2 linked regions of the Styela clava genome follow. Each later gene encodes a partner of the first gene's protein in a complex. Links are inferred from orthologs where the notes say so. Each region holds a gene or a part of one and is shown in the gene's direction. Other genes may lie near its edges.

The links.
Region 2: ubiquinone biosynthesis protein COQ4 homolog, mitochondrial-like (region 1) and NADPH-dependent 3-demethoxyubiquinone 3-hydroxylase, mitochondrial-like share a complex: the UniProt entries of both Caenorhabditis elegans proteins name them as parts of the multi-subunit COQ enzyme complex. The link is inferred for Styela clava from reciprocal best matches to the Caenorhabditis elegans genes coq-4 and clk-1.

Annotation. Positions count from the first base shown.
Region 1 is NC_135256.1:11,735,814-11,747,097, reverse strand, and holds the start of ubiquinone biosynthesis protein COQ4 homolog, mitochondrial-like, read left to right. Parts: upstream 1-7,024; 5' UTR 7,025-7,064; coding exon 7,065-7,164; intron 7,165-7,981; coding exon 7,982-8,181; intron 8,182-8,339; coding exon 8,340-8,448; intron 8,449-8,830; coding exon 8,831-8,933; intron 8,934-11,284. Other genes in the region: histone-lysine N-methyltransferase EHMT2-like, read left to right, coding at 1-3,247; dual specificity protein phosphatase 23-like, read left to right, coding at 4,897-4,990, 5,606-5,805, 6,186-6,386. UniProt on the Caenorhabditis elegans protein: Lyase that catalyzes the C1-decarboxylation of 4-hydroxy-3-methoxy-5-(all-trans-polyprenyl)benzoic acid into 2-methoxy-6-(all-trans-polyprenyl)phenol during ubiquinone biosynthesis.
Region 2 is NC_135263.1:5,459,580-5,468,992, forward strand, and holds NADPH-dependent 3-demethoxyubiquinone 3-hydroxylase, mitochondrial-like, read left to right. Parts: upstream 1-5,724; 5' UTR 5,725-5,727; coding exon 5,728-6,357; 3' UTR 6,358-7,097; downstream 7,098-9,413. Other genes in the region: 26S proteasome non-ATPase regulatory subunit 5-like, read left to right, coding at 3,193-4,707; uncharacterized protein LOC120341376, read left to right, coding at 7,142-7,229, 7,589-7,689, 8,081-8,251, 9,252-9,413. UniProt on the Caenorhabditis elegans protein: Catalyzes the hydroxylation of the 5-methoxy-2-methyl-3-(all-trans-polyprenyl)benzoquinone at the C6 position and participates in the biosynthesis of ubiquinone.

The DNA of each region.
Region 1 (11,284 bases):
TCCTGTAATTTGGGTGACAACTGATGTTCAGACTGCAAGAAGAATACGAAAACTATGCGGAATGCAAAGTTCATCTCATCCGACCCCTTATTTCGATCCAGAATCCAAGGAACTTGCAAATCGCCGCTTGTCAATTATACCTGCTGATGATCCAATCAGTAATAAACAAATGTCCAAGTTTCGCACAATAGTTCGAATTATTGCTAGTGAACGCAAAGTTGACTGGGATTCAGTTTTTCTTGAACTCTCAAGAATGGAGTGTAATGATCAACTTATGAAATGCACCAAGTATATTTCTGATCTCACCCAGGTTCAAGCTAGAATGAAAATCAAACAAGAAGCTGAAAAGGATCCTAATTCCCCATTGTATGTTAAGTCAGAATCTTTGCATGAGCTGCAAAATGCAAACACGAGTGAAGCTATAGTCATATCTTCAGATGATGATGATGATATTACAAAGAACAGCGATATAAGTTTGTCTGAAAAGGAGAATAGTCCAATTCACACAAACAGTGCTGAAATTGCCATTTCGGAAATCAGCGGAAGCTCAGAACATTTAATAACTCCAAGTCCTGATATAGCCGATTTTGATGGCGATAAGAGGCCAGAAACACCAAATTCGAACATCAACGAGGCCGATGAAAGATCGGACATAAAAGTATCATCGATAGAGTCAAAGCGCAAACACGCTACAAGTTCTTCAAATCAAGAATCGGAGATTAAGAGACGTCGAGAGGATAATATCGGTAATTCAATTTCTAGTGTTGATTTCTCATCTGAAAACATTTCAAAAAATACGTCTATGTTTTCAAGCAATTCACTGCAGAATGAAATGAACACACCAGAGCCAAACAATGGAAGTGTTGTTGATAAAGTAAGCAATCTACCATCCAGTAAAATAACTTATAAAACAGTTCGTGGAACTGCATCATTATCTGCTGATATGCAAACCCTATATCATGATATGGAGAGTATGCTTGGTGCCACTCCACTCTGTATTTGTGTTGTTAAGTCCCAGTATGTTCTTAATCCATCACATCACAAAATTACATGTATGGCAATCGATAACATTGATGGCAGATTAACTGGTTGCATGAATAATGTTTCTGAGCCGTACATGATGAGAGCTTCTAAAAATCTTCCTGCTCATGGATTGTGCAGCGAACATCGAGCTCGCATGTTACAACATGAGTGTTGTCCAGGCTGTGGCACTTTTTGTGCAGGTGGCACATTTCTTGTATGCAACAGCACTCCCCAACATCAACACCGATTTCATCGAAATTGTCTAGTGCTAATGAGACATAGCATGGATTGTCCTCATTGTGGTTGCCCTATGTCGAATGTTCAGGAAGTCTCTGTTAATCCAAGTGCCGATTTTCTGAAAAAATACGAAGAAGAGCAGTCAGAAATTATTGAAAAGTCGCCTGAAAAGTTGAAACAATCATGTTATCCTAATTGTGTTATTCGTATTCCGGGAATCACAAAACCTTTTCCTGAATTTATGCTTTTTCAAGACAATACTAAACTAATGCCAGATCGTGAGAACTTGGATATTTTGATTCAAAGCTTAGAAACAGACTTACCAAAGAAACTTCGATTTCAAGCGAAAAATTTAATTCAGCTTGTAAAACAAGGAGATGCTGTTAAAGTTCTACAATTGTTGTGTGGAACAGGTGGCAACCCAAATGCTCGTAACAGTTCCAACCAGAGGACAGCACTGCATGAAGCTGTTGCTCGTGATAGCTTGGAAATTGTTCATTTGCTTGTTACTGCTGGTGCAGATGTCAATGTCCACGATGAAGATGGTAAGACTCCTCTTTTTTATGCAGAACAGCAAAACAGACTTGACATCGTCAAATATCTAATTACTTGTAATACAAGTTTGGTGCATAGCGACTCTGAAGGAATGGTGCCACTCCATCATGCCGCCAAAAATGGGAGACTCGAGTCATGTCTAACATTAATGAAATATGGCAGCAAAAATCAAATAAACTGCTTGGATGAAGGGGGATGGACTCCTTTAGTTTGGGCAGCGGAGCATAAACGTACATCTACCGCTCAATGCTTGATGTATTATAATGCCAATATGCATACTGTGGACCAAGAAGGTAATATTTGCTTGCAGTGGGCAGCTTTAGCAGGAAACAAAAAGATTTTACTGATGTGTTTGAAAAAAAATTGCAATATAGATCATCAAAATATTCTTGGTGATACTGCATTACATATTGCTGCTCGTGAAGACAATCGTGAATGTGTTGTTTTGCTTCTTGCATGGGGTGCCAATCCCCGCATCAAGAATAATGAAGGTCGCTTCCCTGCACAATGTGCAAAAGAACCTTCATTATGCCAAGTTGCACTTCTCATGAACGCGGCTACGCGAAATGCAATTACAGATCACAAAGGTTTTGAACCACTTGATCGTGAACGATTACTTTCAGCTGATATATCAAGAGGAAAAGAAAATATAGCAATCTCATGCATTAATGCTGTTGATGAAGCTCCATGTCCTGTCAGTCCACCTCATGAATTTTTATACATTTCCAAAAATATTTACAAATACACAAATGTAAATGCTATTATGCCTACCATGACTTCATGCAAATGCACACAGGATTGCACATCATGTGAGTGTGGAAAACAAAGTGGACAATGTTGGTATGATGCATCTGGTCGATTATTGCCTTCATTTAATTTCAAAAATCCACCTTTTATTTATGAATGTAACCCATTATGTAAGTGCTCCCGATCTTGCAGGAATCGGGTAATTCAAAATGGTGGTGTAAGGTTCCGCATTCAAGTATTTAGAACTCCTAATATTGGCTGGGGTGTTCGAGCATTAGAACCAATCCCACGTGGATCATTTGTTTGTGAATACATTGGTGAGGTCATTGCTGATGGTGACGCTCGTGATGATGACTTCTACTTGTTTGATCTTGATAATAAACCGGGTGGCTCTTATTGTATCGATGGACGATCTTATGGAAATGTATCACGCTACCTCAATCATCACTGTGAGCCAAATTTGGTTCCAGTTCGTTTCTTTTTCGATCATCAAGATAGTAATTTTCCTCGAATTGCCTTTTTTGCCATGAAAGATATTGCAGTAGGTGAACAGCTGTGCTTTGATTATGGTTCTGGATTCTGGGATGAAAAATGTGAAAATTTCACATGTGAATGTGGTGCAACCAAATGTAGATTTTCAGAAAAGGCATACAGAAGAAAAAGAAAGGAAATGGATGATATATGATCTTGTTCAGACTGTCACTACATAGTAAATGTATTGTCAAATGAGTCCGAGAAAATCCAGATGAATTGAACTCTGTTACCAATACCTTCAAGTAATATTTTCGATTTTCTCTCCTGGCATATATTTTTGTGTATTCAAATTTGATGTTTAGCTTTTTTGAAATAAGGTATTTCACAGTCATACTAATAGAGTATATCATTGGGGGCTCCAGAAGTGTGTGTACCAATATGAAGGTAACTAATTTTGTTCGCCTAATTTACATAAAGTTGTGTAAAGGGACTGAAATCTATGGGCAGGGGGTATATTCACTTGACTAACACAGACAGTCCTTGAACTTGTAATAAAAAAGGAAAATCAGAATATAATTATGGCGTGACCTCAATTTTACGCTGAATTTTAGATTACGGTGCAATACTTGTCTCACTTTTAATAGAAGTATGTGTATGCTATTCAAATTTGAAATTGGATATGATTACTGTATTTTACTGTAATTCTTTTCTTATTTGAAAAATAATCCCTACTTTTCCATTATGCCTCGAATAATTCAATTAATTTAGTCATCACAGAAGCAGAACAAGGCTTGTCCTCAGCAAGGCTCTTGATAACTAGCTATTTAAATCCTTGGAGCTGCTTAATTAAACTTAAGGACACAAATTTTTGGTTTAATCAAGTAATTTGCAATAGAACTGAAATCCTTCAACGGAAGACAATTATTTTTCAGTTTTTTGCTGCTGCAGAAAACATGTTTTTGTATTAAATATTTTTTTGAAGGCAATTTTGATTGTGCATATTGTAGCAATAATCTTTGGAAATAATATTTGAGGTCTTAATATGGTTGTTTGTTTTAAAACAAACATAATACTCAATACTTTTTTCATCTTGGCATGGTCAAATTTTACTATTCACTAATTCAGTATTATTCAATAATACAGAAAATATTGAGAATGAATAAACAAGTTAGGACCTCCTGAAGTATGCGCACCAAGATGGCGCCCAACCTGAACTCAGGTTGTGTACCAGGTTAGGGTTCAGGTTATGCGACATCTTGGTGCGCATACTTCAGAAGCACCCAAATTTACAATATCGTTGAGACTAATATTCTCGCAAAAAAGATCAAGTTTTTGCTATATTTCGGTGATTGTGGGTCTTCATACTGGTTTCAAATCTTTCAAATTTGATCAATATTTTGTTTTAACCTAAGTTGGTGTCAAAAAAGTTTTTACCGCAAACCCCATTGAGCCAGCTAGTGACCACCCCCAGTTTGAAGAGCCCTGGTCTAACTAAAGCATAATTAGCTAATTTGACCCCTTTTCGTCCACTGTATATCACAATATTGCTAGGAAATTTGTTAGAAGAGCAATTACACATTATGTGTCCATGTTTAATTCATGATTCAATACAGATCAACAGTCATATATGCTAGTACTTTTTGAAGCCGTTACCATCTTATAGATCTTTAAATCATAATTATTGTACAGTTTTTCATCTTTTTTTCTGCTCTTGCTTTTTTTTATTTCAAGCAAGTCTCATTTGTTGAATTCTTTTGTTCTAAGGTATATCATAGTCATTTAATAGTATATGTAAATATATCTTGTGGCCTTCGGCATTGAGTAATATTTTCTACTGACATCATACAATCTAATCATCTGATGGCATTCCGCAATCATGAAAATGCTCCACCTCCTAACTTCTCATGGGTCGATGAAGGTTTTCTGGCTGGATGTGGATGCCCAGGAAATTTAGGTAAGAAATAAGGATTGCGACAACTATAAAAAAAATTGAAAATGTCAATGATGATGACTCTGTGATCTGCTAGGGGTAAGGTTCACCATATTGGGAACGTACTTGCTTGGCATTGCATTGGTGCTTATATTCCTAGGATAAAGTATGTTTTGGTATTTATTTTCAGCTGCAAAATGGGCATACATCTCGTATAGAAATGAGAGAAAAAATTTTTTGCAGTCGTAACATAATTCAGTAAAAATGTGGGTACTCCTAAAGTATGCATACCAAGATGACAGACACCGGAACGTAGTATGTGTACCAGGTTAGAGTTAGGCCATAATTTCAGGTACAAAAACTATGGGAGTCACTTGGCTAGTCCCTGAACTCGTAATAGAACTAAAATAAGGAAAATTGGAATAAAATTATTGCCTAACTTGGTACACATACTACGAGCACCAAAATGTGCACATGACACAAAAGTTTTCCAAAACCATTCACTACGTTTCTTACTCCCTTGTCATGCCTGTGTTGCGTAGATAATAGAGATAATTTAACAATTTTTTTCCCTAAAATGCATGTATGGTTCAGCATTATTAAGTTATTGATCATTTCTATTCACTCTATTTTGAATAGATCACTACAAATACTTCACTGAAGTTGGAATTCGTCATGTTATTTCATTGAAGGAACAATATCCACCAGGAGCTGAGGAAAATAGTAAATCATTGAATTTGAAATTATCTAAGATTCAAATAAAAGATTTTCATCCTCCGACAATTGATCAGATAGATGAGTTTTTAAAACTTGTCGACGAAGGGAAAAAGTGTAATCAGGTAAAATTCTTTTCTAGTTTTTTGCTTCCAGAGCAGTTTTGTTGACATGGTATAATGGCATGGAATGCAAAATGTTGAAATAATTTTATCGCAGATCAGACCCCCTAAATAAGCCTAGTTGCGAAATTAAATAAGCCAATTACTGCAATATTGTGAAGAAAAGTATTTGGACATTGTATTTCTGGATTTTTCAGAGTACAAAATTTTTATGTGAAAAAATAGCTTTTTCAAATAGGGATGGAGTCATCTACACAGTAGACTGGTAGTGTTGTAACAATGTGTCTGTTCAAACTCAAAAATTAACTTTATTATACAAACTTGCAAACTTTTCTTCAAAAACACCTATGAGTTCTAATCCGAGTATTTTTTAAACCTGACAGCCGGTAGTTACACACTGCGCTCTTGGCAATGGACGAACTGGAACAATGTTGGCATGCTATTTATTAAAACAAAAAAGAATATCTGCTAAAGAAGCGCTGGACGAAATCAGGAAATTGAGGCCAGGATCTGTTGAAACAGTCGAGCAAGAAAAAGCAATAGAAATGTATTACAAGCATTTGAACGAAACTGCAACTGATTGATTATCTTATTCAACTGTCTATCTCTATTATAATTAATGTTATTGGATATGTATGATTTAAAATACTGCTCGAATCATAATATTTATCAAAAAGTTCTCTAATCAAAATTAATAATTAGAAGTTGTTAGACTTATATATTAGATGGGTTTTCGTAACACGTAGTTGTTGAAGATAAATTTTGTAAAATGGAATATAAAGCAGTTCAAAGTAAAGAAGTCATGTGAGAAGTTCCTAACATCATACAGGAATATCATTTCAAATCTGAGCTATTGTCTGTGTGATAGGTCATATTTGAACTGCATGTGAATAATCAATTGATTTATGATGCAGATTGTAAGCATCGTTGCATACATTATAATCAAACAAATACATCAGCAAATTTATGAGTGTTAATAATTTACCTATAAATAACGGTGCAATAACTGTAGAATATCACTTTACTGTTTCAAATTATTTCTATAATTTGCATCTACTGGTATTTCTGTGTGTGAAATTCTGCAATTGTTTTGTCCCATCTCATACTCTTTAGTATATATTTCATATATTATTCATATTCAAGTTTTTGTTCGGAGTTTTTTTTTAAATGAAATATTTAACTTGAATTATAACATAGCAATAATTGTTACATTTTGATTGATATAGAAATTAGCAAATTTTAAATAGGTATGATATGAAACAATGTCACTGTATACTGGTCATATAACTACATCATATATTCAAAAGTCGTTACTTGCTGTTGGATCTGCCGTTGCATCATTGAGTAATCCTTACAGACATGGTGAGATTCATTCAATTTTTATATTTCAGCTTGAGATTTGGGGTATTTATTAATCAACACGGGTCTGAAAACTGTTCAATTTTGGTAAAAAGTTGGTCATTTTCATGAAACAACACACAAAGATGTAATATAACATATGATTAAGCCATCCTATAGCTTTTTTGGTCTTCCATCAGAAGCAATGTAATGATTTCAATAAATGCTTAAAAAATTATTTTAATTGCTTTTTTGGTCTTCCATCAGTAGCAATGTATTAATTTCAATGAATGCTTGAAAAAATTATTTTAATTGATTCATATTATCCATCTCGTTGAGGTATAGAAAATTTAGCAGGCAATGATGGGCCAAAAAGGTTCTATGTGAGCCACCTATTCATGAGTGGCAGTCTCCATAGCATATAGGATTTACATATTTATCGACTATAAGAAGGCTCAGTTATATGGCAAACCATGGCCTGTCGTTTGATTACCAGTCCATGTCAGGTATGTGATTAGTTAGCCAGTTATTTTTTTTTGAAAGCATGAACTTTGTGGTGGAGGAAGCCGTGAACCACCCCATGGCGGGGAGGAGTCCAGCAATCCACTCACACGTATTTAATCCTGCACAGAATTCGAACCTACGCAGGGTAATCAGTGGTGAAGGTATTCCTAACGCTTGGCACGATGCGCCACACCGCCGAGCCATGTCAACCAAATCCATTCATATTAAATACACGTGCAACTGTCGTTAAGCGAACAAGTAAAGATGAAGATAAATCATTTTATTAGTTTTGTATGTATTGGACTATTTTGAAAAAAAAAAAAATTTTCAATTGTAGACATGGTTGCTGTATGTGGTGAGGTGACAGGAACTAAGGCTCTTCAATACATGCTGAGTAGAATGCAAAAAGATCCTGTCGGAAGAGAAATACTTGAAACCAGACCTAGAATAAACAGCACAACAGTAGATATGAATCATCTGCGGACTTTAAAAGACGATACGTTTGGGAAACAATATGTTGAATTTCTTGATAGATTTGTGAGTGCCTCATACAATTTTGTATTTACGCTTTGAACTGTTGTAACGACAGGGATATTACTCCAAATATAATGGGGGCCTTCCCCCAAAAAAATAAAAATTTGGAACATATTCTTGAGAGAGCATGTCATAAACAATTCTTTTTTTATTTATTTTAGAAAATTACACCAGACAGTAGGATGCCTGTGAAGTTTGTAGATGATGAAAATCTGGCTTATGTTATGCAAAGATACAGAGAAGTTCATGATTTCAATCATCTTCTATTGAGTGAGTGTGTTTCTCATTGATATAGAAAGGAAATTTGATGCTGAAAGTTTTTTCACCAAGGACCTCCACATGGAATTCCTGATGTTCTACCTAGCAGTCTTACATAAACCAAATCTCGGTCCTAGATGCCTTGTGAACTCAGGGATAAGCCTATCAAAACAACATTTCTACTCTGGTAAAAGAGACCAGCGATCCTTTTTTAACATTGACCATCAAATGTCATGTATCATCTAAATGTCAGCAACTTGTGTGCCACACAAATATGGTAATTCAAATCCCTTTATCGATTAACTAGATCACTTTATTCAGCTGGAAGTTAAATACGGGACACATAATAACCACTCTAATTATTAAAGTGACTTATTGACATGCTCATTTTCAGATCAACCAACTAATATACTGGGTGAAATAGTTGTAAAATGGTTTGAAGCATTACAAACTCGACTACCGATGTGTTACTTAGCCGCATTAGCTGGACCTGTAAGGTTAGTAAGCCGTCATCACATATAAGCCGACCTCCTAAAAACAAAACATATAAGCCGGCCCTATACATTGTACGCAGCTATCACCACAGCAAATTGCAGAAGAGAATTAATGAGAATGATAACCATCATTGTTATGTTCAGGGATGGCCATTTCCGAATACTAAACTATTCCGAATACATTCTAAAATAATGTTTTCGAATCTGGAATTCCGAATACATTCTAAAATCGAAAATAACACATTTTTGTTTTAGTTGATTAAAACCCAGTAAATTAGGAAATAAGCTTCAATAGAAATATGAGAATGAAGCCACAGACCAACAGTATATGTACACAAAGTAATTGATAGTTTATAGCTATTATTAAAAAATAATAGCAACTTGTGACACAGTCAGTTCATTAAAATTATTCACTTTGTACAAATGACCATATGAAAAGATAGCCAAGGAGTTGTCTGACGCTTTCTATCATTGGTACCATGATATTACGATAACAGTCGAGTCAATTGACAAAAATACTACTTGTATTCAGATAATTGTGAAAATTTTCTGAGAGTAATAAAATTTATTGGCAATACAGGCAACAACAATCGAAAATCCATTCTGCCTTTAAAAATTCTAATATTTAAGCCCAGAGTATTCTACTACCTACCAGTATATTTATTGTTATTATGTGTAACATATTGTTGTGTTTGGAGTTAGAAATAAATTAGTAGAGAATAGATGACCACCACTGCCAGCGCGCAGCCGGGATTTTCAAAATCGGAAATTCTCATTGCCGCCTGTAACACCCACCGCGATTCCGCGCTTGTTAAAAGAGCCGTCTTGTCAGCGTATAATGATCATTCTGTTACGTAAAATATTCAATCCATGACAACTACGAGATTCTAAAATATCTTTGTATATTAATTTAATGTGTCCAACATAACTCGCGGTTGCTTCTTCTTACGTCAAAAAAAACATTACTATTCGGTCCACGGCAATCTGTGACCTAAAATTACGAGATAAACTGCTTGATGTATTTAATTTTAATATGTATTTTTGCAATCTTGCCAACTCGTTATTGCCGTTAGAAAAATCTCAAACAATTATATAAAATCCTGTTAAGTGTAGAGAATAATTCATTTCATACAATGAATATACATATAAAGTTTAGCAGTAAATTAAAAATACATATTCATCGCCGCGATTATGCCACCTGTTAAAAGAGTCGACTTTTACAACAAATAATATAACAACAAATATATAATTTTCTGTTGTGCAAAGTGATGAATTCGTGACCAACACGGGCATATTTAAAATGTCTTGCTCTTATTAATTTAATTGTCTTCAATTTAAACTGCGGTTGCGTCGACAAAATAAAATCCTCACCACTCTTATATACCAGTCCGCGGCCATAAAAATAAAAACGTGAGGTAAACTGTCCGATTAAATATTGTTTTTATCCGTATTTTGCGAATACGGCAAATATTTAGATGTACTTGTTAACAGTGACTCCGCTCGATCGAAATGCTCAGAGTAAAATATCTCAGAGTAAAATTTATTTCATCACAATAAAATTGATTGAATATACCTCAGAATAATTATAATATAACATTCTCACAACCAGGGAAAAAGTCGCGTTTCAAACCTTGTATCGTGTTAACCCGAAAATATTTGACGGCAATTTAAAGTAATGGATAATCAGGCAAATCCCGCCCTCAGTGACGATACGTTCCTAAACGCTGACCAAACATAATGTGTGCCAGAGGCACACGAAATTTTGTGATTTTCACTGCCTAGAAAAGCGTTTTTTAAATTTTCGCGGGACTCAATAAAACTTATGTTGTTTACGGTTTTGTTTTCAGTATTTTAAATTGCCGCTTTTCAATCAAAAAGTTGCGTTGTCTTTAGAAACTCGCCGCCTATGAACGTATTTACCAGATTCACAATTCCGTGCGCATACAAAAATAAAATAAATGTTATCGTTATCGTGGAACAAATTTGTGGAAAATTTTCGTTTTAGAGAAAATAACACAATCGTAATAGCGTTCACGGGCCTAAATAACACGTTACGCTGATGAGTGATAAAAACAATCGCGCGCAAGTTTCTATCGAGAATGTTTTCATTCAACGGAAACGTCTTGAAAGCGGCGTCGAAAATGTGTGACGTCACACAAATATCCGATATTCTTATGAACGTGAATTCCGATATTCGAATAATGAGATATTCGAATACATTCGAATACTTTATTCGAATTGGCCATCCCTGGTTATGTTTTACTTACTATGTGCGTATAAGCAGAATTTTTAGTGCGTTTTAGAGTTATGCAAGTATAAGCTGACCCCTTAGTTTGGCAACTTTTTTTCGGGTT
Region 2 (9,413 bases), on another chromosome or scaffold:
ATCTAGCATCCAATTTTTATCAGACTGCTATTGCTACTGATTACTGCATTTTTTATATTATATTCCTTCTCATAACCATTGCCAACTAAATTACTAAACAAAGTTAAGAAAGAAACTGTTGTAAATTCTCAATCAGGAATGGTCAAGAAAAATAAAAAAAAATTAAATCAAGCCCAATATGTAAAACTGTTTTAAATTATTTTAATTTTACAAAAGTTTGAGCTAGTGTTTCTGCTCATGAAATCTAACTTTCATCAATTACTGGAAGCAATTCGTAGAATGCCTTGTGGTTTGTAGGGATTAAATTCTTATTACATAATGTTGTCAAACTCTTGTATTTCTCCCTGCTGACTCTTTTATATTCTGTCTTTTTTGTGTTGCTGGTCTTGCTGACTTTAGAACCAAAGAGTTCTAAAAGAGCTCCTCACCGAATGGGCTGTGTCATTCTCATTTTGAGAATGACCTGTAATTAGAAAATTAAGTGTTATTTCATCGAAATGCAGCTCCTCTATAGCATAGAGTAACATCACAATCATAGCTCTGTTATTATTTTGTCCACTGCAGCGGTCACAGAAAAGTTGCACAGTCTTCACTGCTGTGGTGAGAGAGGACAGGTATCAAAACACTGCAGTCGCTATTTTACAAGAGCTTTTTCACCCTTATACTTCATTCCAAAGATAGCAACTCTTGTGCATGGACTGAATGTCAGTTACTGTAAAGTTGAAATTTTTCAGCATTTGTGTGTAGTAAAAGGAGGACACTTGTCCACAAAGACAAAGAAGAGTTTTCTGAAGGTCAAAAGCTGCCACATGAAGTGAAGAATCTGTTGTGGTTTTTTCTTTCATTTCCCTCTTCATTGAACGCACCATGTCCTTTTCTTGGATATGCTTAGTTTGATTTTCGAAATCTTCGTCAGTCAATAGAGATTTTTGCATTTTTTGAAAGCTGAAAGCATTGATCACACACATCTATTTTAGGTCGGTGAAATTTAAGATTGAATTTTTCATTGGATATGCGTAAATAAAAATCATATGATTCAACTGCAGAGCTATTTTCTTCGCACCAAATCTCATATATTTCATACATTTGTCGTACAGTCAGATACTCATGAAGATATTCCCACTGACTGTCTTTTCTCAAATAATGTGATTCAACAACTGGAAACAATTTTATATGAGTTATAAATGGCTCCTGCCTTTCCCTGGTGACTTTGTTGTGGTCACCATATCTTCCTCACATATCTTTCTCCAGTGAACCAGTGATGTTTCCACCCTTTTCTTGCTTATATTCGGGGGAATCTAAAAAAAGTTATTACACACTTGCACCAACTCGTTGCTTTCTGGATTTAAAAAAGTGTAGACTCTGTTGACTTCCTGATTACGTTTTTGATCAGTCTTAGTATCTTTTCTCGGACTGCATCTCATTTTTTGTATGTACTGAGACAATCATATTCTGGTTAGATTTCTTATCAGATGGGATATCGTAACTGAGTAAAGTCTTCTGGCTGGTTCACACTTTGCTTGGCTTTGCTTGAAAGATATATTTCCGACTCGAAAATTCCATAATTATGTAAATTTTAATAATTTAAAAACAGCAGTTGGAAAGTGGTTATGGCAATGAATAATAACTTTCTCATTCCCTCTACTGTAAACATAAAAAACAGCTAACACTGAGCTATGACTGAGAGCTGGTATGGACTTAGCGCTTTCTATTATATTTAACTCAAATTTTTGGGAGGAGCTATGTCCAAAAAACGGACTTAGCACCGACTTACAATGCAGTTATCCAGAGCTAAGTCCACTATAGCAGACACAGCTCTGTTTAGTTCTCAAATGCCCTAAAAAAAGCAGGGTTATGTCCATAGCTATCTTGAGATCTAGAGCACCTAGAGATAAGGCAAATAGACCAAAATGTAGAGCTAAGTCCAGGAAAATCAGCAGTTGGAAAATGTCGTTTTTGGGAAAAGTGGACTTAGCACTGTTTGGTTTTGATGCGTCGATATGATGGTATGAGACTATTTAATTTATGACTTCAATAATCTGTGACACCTATGTAACCCTAACTACAGAACTATGCACAAATGTTCTATAAATCCTTATGTATTTATATAATAATACATATGAACAAAACTCAAAGTGAATGTGGAATAACTGAAATAAAGTCATAACATTGCAAAACATAGTGAATAGCTCAAAACAGAGGGCAGAGGGAAACAGCAAATACCTGTTACCAGTTTTGCACAGTTTCCCTTTGTTTCCCCCTTTTTCCGCAAATAGTAAGACCCAATATGAAACAAGTTTGCATATACCCATATAATCAGTCCCATATTTATTCGTACCATGTTTATTCATAATATTGTGGCATTATATACTTTAATACTTTTTCATTGCTTTTCTCTATACTAGTATAGTAAGGTTTAAAATAGGAATCCAGTCAGAATGTCTTCTTGTGGGACTTCAACTGGCAATATTGCAAAGGAGGGAGAAGAAAAATTTGGCTACTGGAAACAATTAGTTGAAACTGGATTCGGAGGTCTTCAAAACTGGCCAAAAATGCGTCCACTGGAAAATGATTGGCAACGTCCTGGTTTAGCTTATGATAAGTGTGACATCGAAGTCATGGCTATGGAAATTTGTCGTCTGCACAATGCAGATAATCATAGACGTGTCCAGCAAGTGTGTGCGAAAGAACTTACAGACTTGATGGAATGCACATATCCTCTTAATCGATGTAAAAATGAAAAAAAGCTTATCAAAGCCAGTGCATTAGCTTTTGATCCTATACCTTCATTGCAAGCTGGATTTAATTGGAAATATTAAATTTTGAACTATTGATTCAGAGTTTCATCTAGGACTGGTCATTTATCATTAATTTTTGATTTTGCTTTAGTGTTCATATTTGATCTTTTTGAAATATAGGAGACTGTTGTAGTGTGTTTATATACCCTTGGCACGACATTTCAGATATGAATAAATATTCCTTCATTCACTTTGTAATAGTTTTTTTTGGGGTATCGTATCATATTGAGTTTATATTATAGACCTAGCTGGATTTTCATTCAGCATAGAGTAAACTCTGAACATTTTTGTAGATATATATCAGTCCTACGATTTGTCTGATTATTTTTTTTAAATTATTCTGGTTCCGATCACATTATAATATCCTTAAGTGTGTTTATCTCTAGATTTTATAATGGAAACAGTTAAATCATTATTCGAAAGACTTCAATATGATGAAAATCGTCTTGCTGCCCTTTTGGACGGAAAAACTTACTTAGTAAACGTTAAGCCCACTACTTTGAAGGGAATAATAACAGCTCCGGATATTGCTTTACTTTTTGCTTGTTTCGATACGCAAAATGTAGAACAAATTTCAGCTGTTATCTTCATATTGAAGCTATTATTGCCAATAGTTGATGTTGGGGCAAAATTGGAAGTTTTATCTCAGCATTTATGGAATGGTTTGAATCATTCCAACAGCTCCGTCCAACATTTATGTCTCGGTGAGCTTCGGGAATGCTGCGTAACAGATATAGGCAACCGTGCGTTAATGGAAGGCAAAAATGTCATTGCAAAAGTAATAGAACTCATTGGGGATGATGACATGTCAATAGCTCATTCTGCAGTCCAGTTTCTTTCTGATTTTGCGTCATATTCTATCAATGCAGCAAAATTTCTTCTTCAAGGAGAATTGCTGGAAAAGTTTCAGGCAGTGATGAGAAAGAATGATAACGTTCGTTACAGAGGATATGATGTTATTGTGAAAATTCAATCTAAATCTATTGAACATTTATCTGTTTGTGATTCTTCTGGTTTGCTTCGCAATCTTGTTAATGAGCTGATGGGAGATGATGTATTAATTAAAGTTGTCTGCGTGTCAACTTTGTCTGAAATGGCACTCAGGAAACACAGTTTGCAATACTTGAATAAGAATGGAGTTGTCAACAAATTGATATCAATGATTACAAATGTTGCCTCTGATCCATTGGCCGATTTATATATGCCAGAAATTGTGAAGTTTTTTGGAAAAATGTCGTATCAAGAAGGACCACAGCATGTTATACAAATTTTTCCACAATTTTTGGACACCTTGTTTTCACTTGTTGATGAATTTGATTTGGTGAAGAAAAAAATTGGAATTGAAACTTTGGGATTCATTGGACAAAGCATGGAGGGCAAAAATGTTCTTGCAAAGGAGGGAAACCGCACCAAAGCGGCAATTACTGAAATTGGAAAGATTATATGCACAGAGGGAAGCGATTTGAGACTGATATCTATAAATGCAATGTGCCAGTTATTGGATATAGCTCCCTTGGATCAGACTGAAGATATTGTAGCTTTATTGGCACAATGGTTTCGTTGCATCTCATCATCTCCCATTGATGCAATTTTGTTTTTATGTCGCCAGCCTTTCACAAGTGTAAAATGTGCCGGATTTCATTTGATAAAAACTATAGCGAAATTAGAGTTTGGAATGGCTGCTATGGTTGAGTTCCCCACTTTTGTGGAATTCATCCTCGATCGATCGTCTGATAATAATAAAGAATCTAAAGATGCAAGATTTGAAGCAGTAAAAGCAATTGCAGAATCTCCCCAATGCATGCATATCTTTGGCAACAATAATTATTTAAAGTTTCGTTCTTATGTTCTTGAAGGACCATTATATGAAGAGATGGTCAGTCCTGAGGTCGCAATGGAAACATCTTAAAAAATATGCTCAGTACTAGCTTGAGCTTTAAGTACACCTCGCCCTTACGATAAGGAGCTAAAGTGAACTATAATTGAGATTGAGATAATTGAGCCCATCTGAAACATTATTTTTGTGATAATTCTGTGTTTGCTTTTACGTTTAATGACCGCCTGCTATAACACCTAATGTAGTAACATTAATAATACCTTGTTATAAGGTGTTTGCTCACTTAAACTCAAAACGGGATTCGTTGCAAATTGCAAGCAGCAATTGAATGCACTGATTGTCGTGTTTCGAAAGATCAAAAATTTTATGAATCAGCATATCTGAAATGGTGACCACAGACTGCATATTTTTCATAAACTTGCTGGGAACCTGACAACTTGCAATGCTAAATCAAATATGACAGCAGGATCTATGTCATGACACTTTGGACAATAAAATATATGTTTGAAGTTTGGACATACCATGCATTATTTAATGATGGGTGATCAGTCTTATAGAAATATTGCAAATTTTGTATAAATTTTTTCGAATGTATTATCGAACACAAAGTTGATTTGAAAGTTATGTTTGGGACCAAAATTTATTTTCTTCCTATCTGCTGGATCACTCAATTTCAAATATTCGCAGTTGAAAACGAAAGTTTCTTCTTCAAAAATATCTCTTTCAATTTTGTCATATTTACTCTAGGCATTTTTTGATTTAATATGAACAGGTTTTAAAAAAAATGATGCCATGTGGCTGTGTCTTTATATTTGAACATTGCTATTTGGCCATATTTTCAAAGCTATTTATTCTGATCTTTGCGCTATATTCCAAAAGATTTTGCGGTATAATTTGCTCAAGTCGCATATAATAAAATCATCATTATTTAAGTTGCTAATACACTGCGTTTTAATGCTGCCTTTAGTGTCATAATACAGAGAATGTCTTTTGTAGCAATACGTAATCTACCGTAACTTTTATTTTAACTTTCATTTTAGAACTCCTGTTTATATCTAATGTCACATTGAATGGTTTAAATTTTCATCAGTCATGCTTCTAATAATAAATCGTGGTTGTTTAACCAAATACTGTTCCATACTGAGGAGTAGTTCGTTTTGTACCTCTTCATGCACTCGTCAAGTTAAGGATGCACAAACCAAAGCTATGTATGATAGAATGATCAGAGTCGATCATGCAGGGGAACTTGGTGCCAATCGAATATATGCTGGACAGCTGGCTATTTTACGTAAAACTGATGTCGGCCCAATCATTGAAGAAATGTGGGAACAAGAAAAAGTTCATTTAGCAAAATTTAATGAACTTATACCTAAGCATAGAGTGCGTCCCACTGTATTAACTCCAGTATGGAATGTTGCAGGATGGGTACTAGGTGCTGGAACTGCCCTTATGGGGAAAGAAGCTGCAATGGCTTGCACTGTAGCTGTTGAAGAAACTATTACGGAACATTATAATGATCAACTTCGAGAACTTTTAGCAAGAGAAGATTCCTCCGAGCATGAGGAACTTCTAAGCACAATCAAACAGTTTCGTGATGAGGAAATGGAACACCATGATATAGGAATTGACCATGATGCACTAAATGCACCTTTTTATTCAGTTTTGAAAAATGTAATACAAGCGGGATGCAAGGTTGCAATATTTGCATCTGAAAGAATTTGACATCCGTAAATGGAGATTTGAACTTATAGAAAATCAAAAGCGATAATTTATTTTTTTCGACTGCCTCCATGCTATATGCCAGACCAAAACTGAATTCTTTTTCAATTTCGTAAATTCACAAATAGTCAAATACATCGAAAAACACTGTGCAAGTTACTAATCAATTATTCAGTTACCAATCTTGGATGCATGGCATAATAGTTAATGTTCTTTTTCTAAAGTGATGCCAATAGCGAAATACTTGAGCGGAAATTCTACGAAGTTGCGAAATTATTGTATCATGATTTTAAATGCTTATAGCGATGGTTTTGCTATTAGTTATTGAAACCTAGTGTTTATAATGTGACCAAGCTCGCAATTTTAATTCAGGTAATACTTAATTGTAACCCTTTTCGATAAAAACAAACAGGAAAAGCAATTTCACTTTTTTGTCTTTATTCAAGGATGTTCCCTCAACAATCATGTAGTTAATAAATATGTTTTGAGAGTGCGAGGAATGGTAAAAAATTTGATATATAATATTTGAAGCTGATAAAATCATGCTTCTATACATCCAACAAAGTTATATACTCAGTTGGCAGTTGGCGCATTACAAATAATGTAATACTGGTATTCAAATCTACTTCAATTATTTTATTAATTAATATAGTTTCTCGATGTGAAGTAACACTGCGATCACTTTTATAAATGTGAAGTAACACTCCGATCACTTTTAAATTTCTTTTTGCTTTCCTTTTTAGCATATTATTTAAGATGGTTATATTTGTACGTATTGATATGAAATATGGAAGATTCTGTGGATTCTAATATTTTGTTGGTTGTTCCATCATCTATTGAGGACAGTGTTCCTGTTGGTGGAGACAATCCACTAGGTATTTACTAAATATTTAGATCAATTTTATTTCTTGCTCTTGACTGAACAATGTTTTCATCCTGTCTACTAAATATTAAAATAGGGCATGATTACTATGAGGTATACCTACTTTTGTCAAGGATATTATAGAACACAACCTTCAACATTAGCCAATCAATGTAGTTTGTCAATGTTTCGGATTTCCGTACACAAAATTTCACTCTTTCAAGACGAGGACTAGAAATTCTCTCGCACATAATTATGGTGAATTAAAGCAGTTTGCCTAGATCTGTTTGTGGTTTCAATACGCTGTCTATTGTCAGCTGTGTCAATGACTTCTTTATGATTTATTCAAATATGATAAAATTTACTTGTCAGGAATTTCAAGCAAAACTCTTCATCCAGCAACTGCTTCTATCTCAATTGAAGCTGGAACAGACTCATTCTCCTGTTTCCAACTGTCTGGAAGAGAGACTCAGGTATAGCATCTTATTTTATTTGATCACAATTCGATAAAATTTTTCATCAATTACCTGGCCAGTTTCAAATGAAAAAACATGTTTCTGGTACTTTTTATGAATGACCGCATGGTTTCATGTTTTAAACCTCAGTCAAGGTTTTAGCCACACCTCATAAAGCTCCAAATTTTGTATCTTGTGCTTTTTTATATATTGTGTGATTTGAATCTTGGAAGCAAACATTATATATGTTTTGTCGTACAGCACTCGAGGAAGATTTATTATAAATACTTAAAAAATGTGTTTTGTACATGAGCTTTTTGTTTCAGTCGTTATTCCACTATGACAAATGTAATTTTGAGATAGAGATTTCATAAATTGTGAATATCATATTCCTATTTTTTTATCCAAGGATTCAAAGTCAGAATCTTCTGAAAGTTTACATATTGATGAAAGAGATGTAGACATTATACCTCAATCCCCTAAAGAATTGCATATCGAATTGAGTGATACTCCAAGTGCTCATTCGAATTCTAACACAGAACCTAACGATTCTTATCAGAATTGCGACTGTCTCGACATGGTGGGTTATTTTTCTTATTTATATACGATTCCTGTTCAACCCAAATAAGGCCTAGTACTCACTGTTGTCTACCAATATGTGAGGAGCTATTATTTGGAAAGACCAGAATCTTTTCGGTTCGGTCTACCCTATTCAGTCGAAGACTACTTCATCTTATGCTAGGGTTGTGCAATGAATCTAACCTAGCTTGCATATGTGATCACAGCTTCATTGGCCCGCCGCACATTCGGAGAGTAATCAAAAAATAGCATTTCATGTTGTTTTATGTCTTTTTACATATTGTTACATCACTAATGTCACTGAATTGACTAGTGTTATGGCTAGTTGAGGCAACTAGCGAAGTAGAATGATGTGCTTTGCTTGGAAGTCTAAATTATTATCTGGCTTTCTATCTTTTTGGTCGGGAATATATGCTAACAATAGAAAATCTAATGCGGATTCTATTAGCCTTGGATGGCTATATCTGATAACTATGTGTTTGCACAATAAAAGTTTTGTTTTTTATTGCACTGTTTACCTATTCTTGGCACTATTGTGGCCCGCGAGCAATGCAAAAATAATTTTGTGGCCCGCGGAGCTGGCAGCCTTGACCACCCTGGTCTATCTTATTCAGTTGAAGACTACTTCATCTTATGATAGGGTTGTGCAATGAATCCTACCTAGCTTGTGCAAGGATATGATTTCAACTCCCACAGTAAATCTATAATTTGTTCATCACAAACAGGGGGTGGTTTTGGGGGTCGAAAACCCCCCTCACCCTTTTGAAATGTCAAGAAAAGTAAAAGCATGTTTCTGTATCATACATAGCAATTTTTCGTAGCTTGAAGCACTCAAGACTCATGTACTCGCACGTTTTTCGATGTTCGGCCGGACCCGCTAGTTGTTTCGATCTAACTAGGCAAATAGAAATAGAGTGTTTTGAACGATGAGACAATAAATGATACAGGCACGGTTTTATGTAATCGAAATGGCTTGTAAAAATTTATTTTTTTATTTTTAGGATTCGGGGAAAATGTCTCCTGATTTGATGGCATCGAGTGAAGGATCACTTTCTTCATCAAACCCTGTTATCACGTCACAACCTGATGAGTATGTTCAACAAGCTTTTCCAAGCCTGGAATTTACGTCGCCAAAGTCACAGTCCCAGAGTCCTACTTTACAA